Arabidopsis thaliana: one gene and its partner. The protein of the gene in region 2 interacts with the protein of the main gene of each other region in a pairwise test. Each region holds a gene or a part of one and is shown on either strand. Other genes may lie near its edges. The genes, in order: AT5G20810 and ADK2.

Region 1 (4,675 bases), 6.2 Mb from region 2:
ACAATGAACGTATTATATAGATAAATAATTTTGATAAAGTCTAGACGGATTTGCATCTTTTAAAGTCGCAAAAGAAATATGATGACTGAGAAAAAAAAATATAATAAATTAAATCTACATGTGATGTTTTTTAATTTTTGTTTTGGCAAAAGTCATGTAAGAAACTGATTTTATTTGGTAAAATGCAGAATGAAAAAAAAAACGATTAAACATATTTAGGCTTTATGTGAAAAATTAGAAACGAAATTTTTTTCTGACTGGATCGCTAACAGACGAATGCAAGACTTGGAATGGGGTACACCGCTTTTTGGAGATTGGAAACACATGGAAAACCAAATAAGTAGTGCTTGGTGACTTTGGTCCCATAGCAAAGGGTGAAGTTGTGTCTTTCCTGAATTCGAGTGCATGCTGTTTGGGAGAATTCTTTAACTGTTAGCTCCGGCCCAAACAATCGTAAGTAGTGTATACGAATTATATACCAAATCCGACCAGTTCTTGACAATTCGACCACAATCCATCTTCCCCACATTGTTGCATATTATTCATTAGTCTACTTGATTGTCACACATAACAATTTTCGATAACAACATCGAAGAAGAAGACAAGAAATGTGAACATGTTTTCGTACAAGAAGTTATATTTTTGTTTCGTATCACACTTTGACCACCAAATTTTTTCACATCTAACATACATGTCCTAAAACTTAAATCCCCCTTGAAAAAAGAATGGAGAATCAATAAAGAAACCAGGAAAACACAAAGATAATCTGATTTTACAATTACACCCCAAAGTAATCATCCCTAATTAACAATTTCCATCAGTATATGATTAAAGGATAACAAGAGAATCAAAACAAAATAAATGTTTTAAGATTTTTTATCACTTGACTTGTATTTACTCTTCCTTTGCTGCTACTGCCTCCCCATCTGCAAAAGACAAGACAAAGCCATTAGTGTTTCTCAAGAATCAGCATAACAGTGTCTAATAACTAATCGTCTTGCTTGTTCTCTCATCAAACAAACTTGTGAATGTTAACGGGCTTGGCCCGGCCCATTTTAAACGCAGCATGTTTTTAGACCTGATTCTTCAGGGTTTAGACTTTAACCCAGTCCCTGGATTAAGCCTTGGCTGGCCACCAGGATTTGAGTTCATGGTATGATCTCTAGGTAAGAGTTGGTCTTTGGGGGGCTTACCAGAGTTGTCATCAGGATGAAGATCTTTAAGATTGTTCTCCATGCACTTAAGCAAGTACTTGAAAGTCTCGACCTCGCAAGGGATGGTGAGCGCACCGCTCTGATCAAACCCAAACTCTTCCTCTGCTTTCTCGAGCAAAACCTTGAACAGAGAGTGGCTAAGATAGCTTGTCGGTATGATAAACCTCCTTAGCTCCGGTCCAACATAAACAGCAAGATTCCCTTTAGGAACATCATGAGGCGGCTCAGGACTTTGACAGGTTTCCTCATCCGAGTCACCGTTCTTGACATCTAATAGCCTCTTGTTGATGGCGGGCGAAATCATCGCCACTGCTTGCTTTCCAGCTGCCAATGGAGGAACTTCTGACTTGGGGCCTATGGTGACGGTTTGCCATTTCTGCAAAATCTCCTTAAGCCTGACAATCTGCCTGATACCGGTTAACTTGGCCGCGTTGTTTTCATCCATCTGGCTAGTATAACGAAAGATCAAATGTCACATATGATCTTCTTCTTCCCTTTGTAGCTGCATTTACAATGTCACAAAACTGTTTGATTAGTTTCTTTCTGACTCAGTTGCATCAAAATAAATGAAAATACACATTACTATAAATCTGTGTAACGAGAAAGAATTAAAAATCAATTAACCAAGTTTATTGACCTCTAAATCAATTTGAAGCATTACTATATAAATAGGTTAGGTCCCAAATAAAGAAAAGAATATCATCAAAAAAAACAGAGGACCCACCCAAATACACAGAGAAGCAGATCCCAAAGACGTCTTTATCAAGGGAATGTTTTCTCAGATTCCTAAATATTATTAGGGTCCAATTCTTATCTATGGTAAACCAAATCAATCTAAAGAACATCAAACCCTAAGTTTTTTTTAAAATATAATTTCGCTAACTTTATTTAGCAAAATCAGCGAAAATGAATCCAGATTTGATCCCAATCCGCTAAATCAAAGTTCTTCTCAAAAACTGTAAATAGTTCAGATGAAACCAAAACACGTAGCTGAAACAGACTAATACGCAATCGTGTAAATTACATTATCAAAGAGTATAAATTACCTGAAGAGGAAAACGAATTGAAGCTTGCTTTAGCTATGGACACGATGAATAACACCATGCAAAAAAAAATAGCCCCCGAAAATTTGTTTGTTATGATTCGCTTCGATCTTTTTTTTAAGGATAATTCTGTTCTCGGAGACTGGCAGAGCTCAACGATGATGATGATATGAGAGGAAGAAGCAATTTCTAAGTACTGAAACTACAAAAAAAAAATTAAGAAAAAAAAATCGATAGAATCTAAATATTTGGTGGGGGTGAAAAAAAAACGAATAGAGAAGCGAATTTTGGGAGATGAGAGAAATTAGGGATTAGGCTTTATTTGGATTTTATAGTTTTTGAGTTTTCTTCGTTTTTGATTCTCTCTCGCACAGATTTGTTTTGATGGCTTTCCCGTCACTTTCGCCTTTTCAGGTTCTTCCGTTTTATTTTCTCACGTTCTTCTCGATACCGATGGTTACTTTATTTTCAATTTGACCCCTTTACTCCGATATTTACTTTATTTTACAATTTTACCCCTTTACTACTTTATTATTCATTTAACACCTCATCCGTGCCTTCCTTGTTAAAGTTTTTAATTATGTGATCTATAATGTATTATGTACTTTAACTTATTATTATTATTTTATAATAATTTACTTAACTTAGTTGATCCTGTTAATTTATGATATATCAATTTAGTAATAAGATAATTTATGTCAGAAGCTTATTATAAGATGTGGGCTTATTCTAAAGAAAAGATTATATAATTGTGGATAGTGTTCTTTTTGCTGAGGATCATGGATGGATTTTACAAAATCTTCTCTCATGTGCATTGTTTTTGATAAAGTTTCTTCTCATAATTAAATTCTTGAATTAGACAGTTCTATCTGTCTAAATGGGCCGTAGTATAACCTTTTCTATAAGGAGTAGTCTGATGGGCTTAAATGGTTGGTCTATAAGTTATTTATGATTTTTTTGTTTTTCTAAGAGTCTTATATATATTTTTTAATAAAAATATGACTCTTTTAATTTAGTAATAAAACATATCTTTCTTCTTTTTATTTCTATTTATAGGAGTTTTTATTTATTAAAACTTTTTATTTCTATTTTAGAAGTTTTTATTTATTAAAAAAAACAAGACAAGGAAATACGGAATGGTTCTTCGTAAATGTGTTAACTATTTAAGTGAAGAGAGTGTAATTTGGTCATTGTATACTAACTTAAATACAAAACAAAAAAAAAACGACGTTTACACTTTTTTTTTTTGTCATCTGCTTTTAATTATAACTCAAAAGAGTCATTCCTGTGGAATGTTGTTTACATAAGTGATGTGATGCGATTCAGAACGGACATTCCGTGCCAAATTATCCGCTTTTACATTTGCGCGTCGTGAGATTAAAGATAAAGAGAAGTTTGAAAACTCATCCTTGTCGCTCTGAAATTCCTAGAAATATCCTGAAAATGCTGGCCATTCGGTTGGGGAAGACACCATCTTCCCAGGTCTGAACAGTCTGTAAAGAACGCTACATCTTAGTTATCTGCACCGATCATACACTTCATCCCCCAAAGAAGAGCTTCAACTTCTGTATGTAATGGGGAGAGACTTCTACGGAGATTAGTAGTGCCCATGCTTGAGGTTTCTTCATTTGATGATGTACAAAACCATCCTAATCCTGAAAACTGATCACTCTCTTTCCAAGATCCGTCTACAAAACAACGAAGTCCTGCATAAACATTATCCTCTGAGATATTTCTCACACGAGTTCGTGATTCCAAAAAAGAAACCGGATTTTCAGAATGTAGCTCAACTTGAGCTGATTTCCACGATTGTGCTTCTTTTTCCGCTAAACTTAAAATATCAAGTGGATCTTTATCCACATTATCAAAAAGCTTTGCATTCCGTGCTTTCCAAATATACCAGATAATCCATGGATATGAAAATGAATCAACTGCTGATTGTACTCTCCAAAATAAGTGATCTAAATTCTCATAAATAGAATCCGAGGGAAAAATTCCTATAACCGTGGGAATCTGTGAAAGCGCCCAAATCTGTCGAGCTGGATGACATTGAAAAAGTGTATGATTAATTGTTTTCTCCGTGGCACCGCATCTTGCGCAACCTATATCACAATTTATGCCTCTTTTCCGTAAATTTTCTCTGACCGGCACGCAACTCGCTAAAATTTGCCACAAAAAGTGGCGTAGCTTTGGCGGACATTGCACTTTCCAAGAATATGCTTTAAGCAATGTGATCTCCGGACCAATAAAAGACAAATTTGTATCTATATATTCTATCCGAGAAGTATGATATCCAGATTTGAAAGTATATTTTCCGGATTTTGTAAAATGCCAACCTAGAGTATCCTCTTTGTTGGGCGCACCCACATGCAGGGCACTTATCAACGGGATATCATTTGGATCAAAAATCTCATGTAA
Region 2 (5,941 bases):
ACGGAAGGAGAATACAGTGGCCTTGAACATCAGGTTTAGTTTGTTTTAAGTCTATTGATCGAATATTTCAGGTTAGTTCTTCTAATAAATGATTCTAATGATGGTTTTGTTTTCTCCTGACGCATATAATAGGTTGTTAGAGGTGTGGTGGAAAGTCTTAAAATCATTACCCGTCAGGCGAGTTTGAGAGTTGCAGAGTATGCTTTTCTCTATGCCAAGACTCATGGAAGAGAGAGAGTTTCTGCTATCCACAAAGCCAACATTATGCAGAAAACTGACGGTCTCTTTCTCAAGGTCTGCCCGTTTTATAACTCCAAGCATTTCTTATACGGAGGGATCAAAGCAATGATTGTTATTTCTGCTAGTTTTTTTTTTTTTACATTTTGTTCTGAGACCATTTTTATTTTGCTTCCGTTTTTCAGTGTTGTCGTGAGGTTGCTGAGAAGTATCCTGAGATCACTTACGAGGAGGTCGTTATTGACAACTGCTGTATGATGGTAAGCTATGACACCGAATCTACTATTTTTTCGTTAATTAAGTTAGTGGTCGGGACTCGGGATCACCTTGTAGATTTAGAAGTTTGGTTTCTTAGCAACTTGTATTTGAGTTCTGCTTTTCCACTGTTTTTACATGTGGAATATGCGACTGATAATCTTGAGATACCTGCAGCTTGTGAAAAACCCAGCACTTTTTGATGTCTTGGTGATGCCAAACCTGTACGGTGACATTATTAGCGATCTGTGTGCCGGATTGGTTGGAGGACTAGGATTGACTCCAAGGTAAAAACACTTGTTCCTTCATCTTGTGTAATAGTGATCTTTAGTATGATTATGAGCTACATCATCTTAAGGCCTTATTATCTTTGACGCAGTTGTAATATTGGAGAAGATGGTGTAGCCCTTGCTGAAGCAGTTCACGGTTCTGCACCTGATATCGCTGGAAAGGTTGGTCCTTCAAACAATATATCATTCCAATTTCATCATTTACGGGCTAAAGAGTATCATTTATGCATCCAATGTTGAAAGATTAATATGTGTGATTTTTAAATTTGTTGTTGTCTTTCTGTTTTGGGTGATGTAGAACTTGGCGAACCCAACCGCGTTGCTTCTGAGTGGAGTGATGATGTTGCGTCACCTGAAGTTCAACGAACAAGCAGAACAAATCCACAGTGCAATCATCAACACCATAGCAGAGGGCAAATACAGAACCGCGGATCTTGGAGGTAGTTCGACCACCACGGAATTCACAAAGGCAATCTGTGATCATCTCTGAACATCGTAAAATCCAATTCTTTATCGAATCTTCTTTTGGGAGCCTTTTTTATAGCCTCGAATTCTTCTTGTTTTCTTGTTTTACGATTAGAATAAAAGAAAAAGCAAAAAAACGGCTCTTCATGAGTTTTGAAGTTATTGTTTCTGCCTTAAAATTTCTCTGCCGTAAGGCAAGAAGATTCATAACACTGGAAAAAGTGATGTTCTTTCTGAATCGATCAGAAGAATTTTGTTTTGTTGCTTGAATTGTTTACATACTCTTATAACTTCAATCAGTTTATCAATTTCATACATACATCCAAACCTTTTTTTTTCTTTTCACTCGTAGAATAAAATGAGTAAATTACTATGATTATGAATGAAATGACAAAATCATCAAATGAAGAAAACTCATACATTTGTAAACCATTTCAATACAAATTAGTCGGTCCACAAAGAAAAGAGTACTAATTTAGTTTAAAAATTATACTTAAAAAAAATCTAAAAAGAGAATAATAATGTGTCGTTGGTGCACCAACTTCCCCTCGAGCTAAGATTATAAAGGCAAGACGCTTCACTCAGCAGCAGTAACTAAACTTGCCTCCAAAAACCAATCCCAGATCTGAATCTCAACCTAAACCTCAGATTCATCATCATGGCTTCTTCTTCTAACTACGATGGAATCCTTCTCGGTATGGGTAACCCACTCCTCGATATCTCTGCCGTCGTCGACGACGAATTTCTCACCAAGTAAATAAACTCTCAGATCCCTCTTTTTCTATTTGTTTCCAATTCCTTTTGCTGTATCCATTGTCGCTATCTCTCTCTGGGATTTTGGTTTGAATCTAGATTTGATAGTTTGATTCTTCTTCAGTGGCATAAACTCTGTGATTTGTGTGCGTTTTTTTTGTTTATGTTGTTCTCTAATCGTGTTGACAGATACGACATCAAGTTGAACAATGCGATTCTCGCGGAAGACAAACATTTGCCCATGTAAGTATTGATTTATGCTCTGCTTTTGGTATTTGATGGGTTAAAATTAGGTGTGGTAATCAAGAGTGTTGATCATGTTATTTAAACTTTCAAGTAGAGATTGATTCAATGCTTCAGAAGTCTGGATTGTTTCAGCTAAATATCTCATCCTCTCTTTATAATATAGACTATATAGTTGATGGTTTGAGAAACAGAAATTCACTTTGAAACTTTTTTTGTTTCTTTTTTTAAAAGGTATGATGAGATGAGTAGCAAGTTCAATGTTGAATACATTGCCGGAGGTAATTAATCTTTTGTCCTGTTTGACGATCCTGTAACTCTTTTATCGTTTATACGTTGACAAGATTATGATATATTGGTTATTCTATTCTTTCTCAGGTGCTACTCAGAACTCAATCAAAGTGGCTCAGGTAGATTCTTTTGCATTTTTCTTGCACTTTTTATGGGTTATAAGTAACCACTGCTAAAAATCAAGGTTTTTTTTTTTTACTTTCTGGTGGCTGCAGTGGATGCTTCAAATTCCTGGGGCAACCAGTTACATGGGATCCATTGGAAAGGACAAATATGGAGAGGCCATGAAGAAGGATGCTACAGCAGCTGGTGTTAATGTAAGCTGTGTTTCCTGGTTCTTCTTTGGTTTTCTTGTTTTCTGTTTGAGTCAATGCGCAGCTGCTGTTCCGTTTGTCTTTTGAGGATAGTATGAAGTTATTGTTGAAACTGAATTCGGATTTTGTAATCAAAGTGCATTAAAATGACACTATGCTTTTGTATCAGGTTCACTATTATGAAGATGAGTCGGCACCTACTGGAACTTGTGGTGTCTGTGTTGTTGGTGGAGAAAGGTCTCTTATTGCGAATCTTTCAGCTGCAAACTGCTACAAGGTTGATCACCTTAAGAAGCCTGAAAACTGGGCATTGGGTAAAATTCTTTTCCCATCGTTGCATCCTTTTAACACTTCTGTATTATCTCTTCGTGATCTGACTGATCAAATGTGTATTGGGTAGTTGAGAAGGCCAAGTTCTACTACATTGCTGGATTCTTCCTCACAGTATCGCCTGAATCCATTCAGTTGGTATCTGAGCACGCTGCTGCAAACAACAAGGTAATTAAGACATGGTCCTCCATTTCATGAGACTCTGTTTCAGCAGAATCTTTTATTTGTTTACAACTGCTTCTTTTATTGACATCCTCTACATATTCACCTATCCTTCAGGTGTTCACAATGAACCTTTCTGCTCCATTCATCTGTGAATTCTTCAAAGATGTGCAGGAGAAGTTCTTGCCGTAAGCTCTCCCTAATTTTATTTTATCCATTACAGATGTTCTGATTGCGTAAATGTACTGAATAACACTCTACATTGATCTTACAGATACATGGACTTCGTTTTCGGCAATGAGACAGAGGCAAGAACCTTCTCTAGGGTTCATGGCTGGGAGGTAAGAAGTTTCTCTAGCACGACTAAATTTCAGCAGGCTGTTCTGTTTTGTATAGCTGAGATAAGAATTAACCATTTATATGTTTATATATGTATAGACTGAAGATGTCGAACAAATAGCCATCAAGATTTCACAGCTTCCCAAGGCCACAGGAACATACAAGAGGACCACTGTGATTACACAGGGCGCTGATCCAGTGGTTGTTGCTGAAGATGGAAAGGTGAAGAAATATCCAGTCATCCCTCTCCCAAAGGAGAAGCTGGTTGACACCAACGGTGCAGGTACTAATTTTGATAATCGAAAGACCGAGTTGTAACCAAACCTACATTCAACTTTATGCTTATTATTATTATACTAGATAGAAACTGACATGATCATAGAATAAGCTGATCCTTTAGCATTTCAAAATTCAAACGAACTTTCTCCTTGAAACTGATACAAAACATGTTCTTCTCTGTGTCATAGACAGAACCAATACCGACTATTTTTGTTGATCTCTCTTACAGGTGATGCATTTGTGGGAGGATTTATGTCACAGTTGGTGAAAGAGAAATCGATTGAGGAATGCGTGAAGGCTGGATGCTATGCGTCGAACGTGGTGATCCAAAGATCTGGCTGCACTTACCCTGAGAAGCCCGACTTTAACTAAACAATTGGGTTACCCTCAGTTTTGTGATATCTTCCAAATAAAACAACCTTTGAATTATTATTGCTTGAGTGTACTTTTTACCACTTTTATTCTCATTATTATTCCCTAATTAATATTACCACCATAGGTTTAGACAAGACAAGTCATGTTTAATCAATGAAGGCTTCGATGAGAAGATTATATGATATCTACCATCAGCTAATACCTAAAAATGGCTCATTTCACAAACTCCTTAAATGGATCCTCTAACATTATTAAAAAAACCTAAACGTTAGTAGTAGAACCATCTTCTTGAATCAAAGACTCATAACGAATAACGAGGAGAAGCGCAACGGAGGACCTCGAGAAAGAGAGTTTCGTCACAAGCAATACAAAGCTTGGAATCTCCGGAAGTGAAATCGTCGTAAGCTTCATCTTTTGATTGATCAAGCAAAGCTCTGAAGATGGGATCGTGAAGCAACGTGATCTTTATAACGAACCTCTTATAAGTTTCCTCATCTTTACCAACGTACACCACAAGGTGTCCCTTTGGTACGTCATGTGGTATATGATATTGATCCTTAGGATTTCCGGTGGCGACGCGGTGTTTGGCAACTCTGCTTGACATTTGCTTCCATGCCTTTGCGATCAGCTTGCTCTTCTTCATCATGTTTATGAGAGAGATGAGAAAGAGAAAGAGAGAGACGTTTTTGGGGTTTAGTACTAGTGCCGTACATGGGTATTTATACACAAAGTCACTAACATAGGTCTACTATATATATATTCAATGTATGTATTATATGGATGAATAGGTATGGGTAATGATTATTTTTGGACCATGTCGTCTTTACAAATAATACATGATCTACATTAGTTATCATGAAAAACAATACATTCCATTCAATACATATATATTACCAAGAAATATGTATAAATATTTGGAACGTCATTATCAATTTAGTTTTGAAAATAAGATGTCTTTGTTCATCATCTTATTTTATTTGTTTTTTGGGGTCAACTACGGCCAAGCTGTACTTACGACATACGAAATCGTACGAACATGCATCTTCCCTCAAACAATGGCCAATGGGCTTTCGCTTTAATCATTGCTTCGTTTTGATTATTTGGTTTCTTTAAATTTTCATGAATACAAAACAAATCTTTATCGGCATGGCATGCACATTGGCACTCAACTATTTGGCATAGAGATAATGTATGAGTGTCGTCACAGTAGTAGAATCACTTAAAGTGATTTGCATAACTTTAACAATTAGTAGAATCACTTTAACGATGTTATTTAACGAAAGCAGAAATTCTTTAGAGAAGAGCTAAAATTTGAAAGATTTGTTTTTCTTATAAAAAGGAGACGCATTTTATTCAAGTTGTGAAATTGTGGGTCCCAGGGTTCGATCAAATGCTGGAGAAAGATAAGATTTAAAAGATATAAGAAAAGGGATAAGATTCTTGGACAAAGTGCAATTCCACTTACGTACCATACATCGGGATATGTAACTCACATATTACACAAATTATCTAATCCTAACTGATTTGTTATGCTGGATATATCCATTGTGATCTGTCACTGGTGATTTACCAAAATCACAATACTTTTTAAATAATATCATCAATAAT

What was found.
Region 1: the proteins of ADK2 (region 2) and AT5G20810 interact in a two-hybrid assay, tested with the Arabidopsis thaliana proteins (one large-scale study listed by BioGRID).

What each region holds. Positions count from the first base shown.
Region 1 is NC_003076.8:7,041,775-7,046,449, reverse strand, and holds AT5G20810 (SAUR-like auxin-responsive protein family), read right to left. Parts: upstream 2,650-4,675; 5' UTR 2,261-2,649; intron 1,717-2,260; 5' UTR 1,660-1,716; coding exon 1,087-1,659; 3' UTR 927-1,086; coding exon of another isoform or gene 895-926; 3' UTR 738-894; downstream 1-737.
Region 2 is NC_003076.8:794,668-800,608, forward strand, and holds ADK2 (adenosine kinase 2), read left to right. Parts: upstream 1-1,774; 5' UTR 1,775-1,905; coding exon 1,906-2,000; exon of another isoform or gene 2,001-2,189; coding exon 2,190-2,243; intron 2,244-2,340; exon of another isoform or gene 2,341-2,477; coding exon 2,478-2,524; intron 2,525-2,621; coding exon 2,622-2,653; intron 2,654-2,749; coding exon 2,750-2,851; intron 2,852-3,017; coding exon 3,018-3,162; intron 3,163-3,248; coding exon 3,249-3,346; intron 3,347-3,457; coding exon 3,458-3,528; intron 3,529-3,614; coding exon 3,615-3,681; intron 3,682-3,778; coding exon 3,779-3,962; intron 3,963-4,187; coding exon 4,188-4,330; 3' UTR 4,331-4,634; coding exon of another isoform or gene 4,635-4,979; 3' UTR 4,980-5,143; downstream 5,144-5,941. Other genes in the region: IDH-V (isocitrate dehydrogenase V), read left to right, coding at 1-33, 133-294, 423-497, 670-779, 872-944, 1,081-1,272; AT5G03310 (SAUR-like auxin-responsive protein family), read right to left, coding at 4,635-4,979. UniProt on the Arabidopsis thaliana protein: ATP dependent phosphorylation of adenosine and other related nucleoside analogs to monophosphate derivatives. Essential to sustain methyl recycling.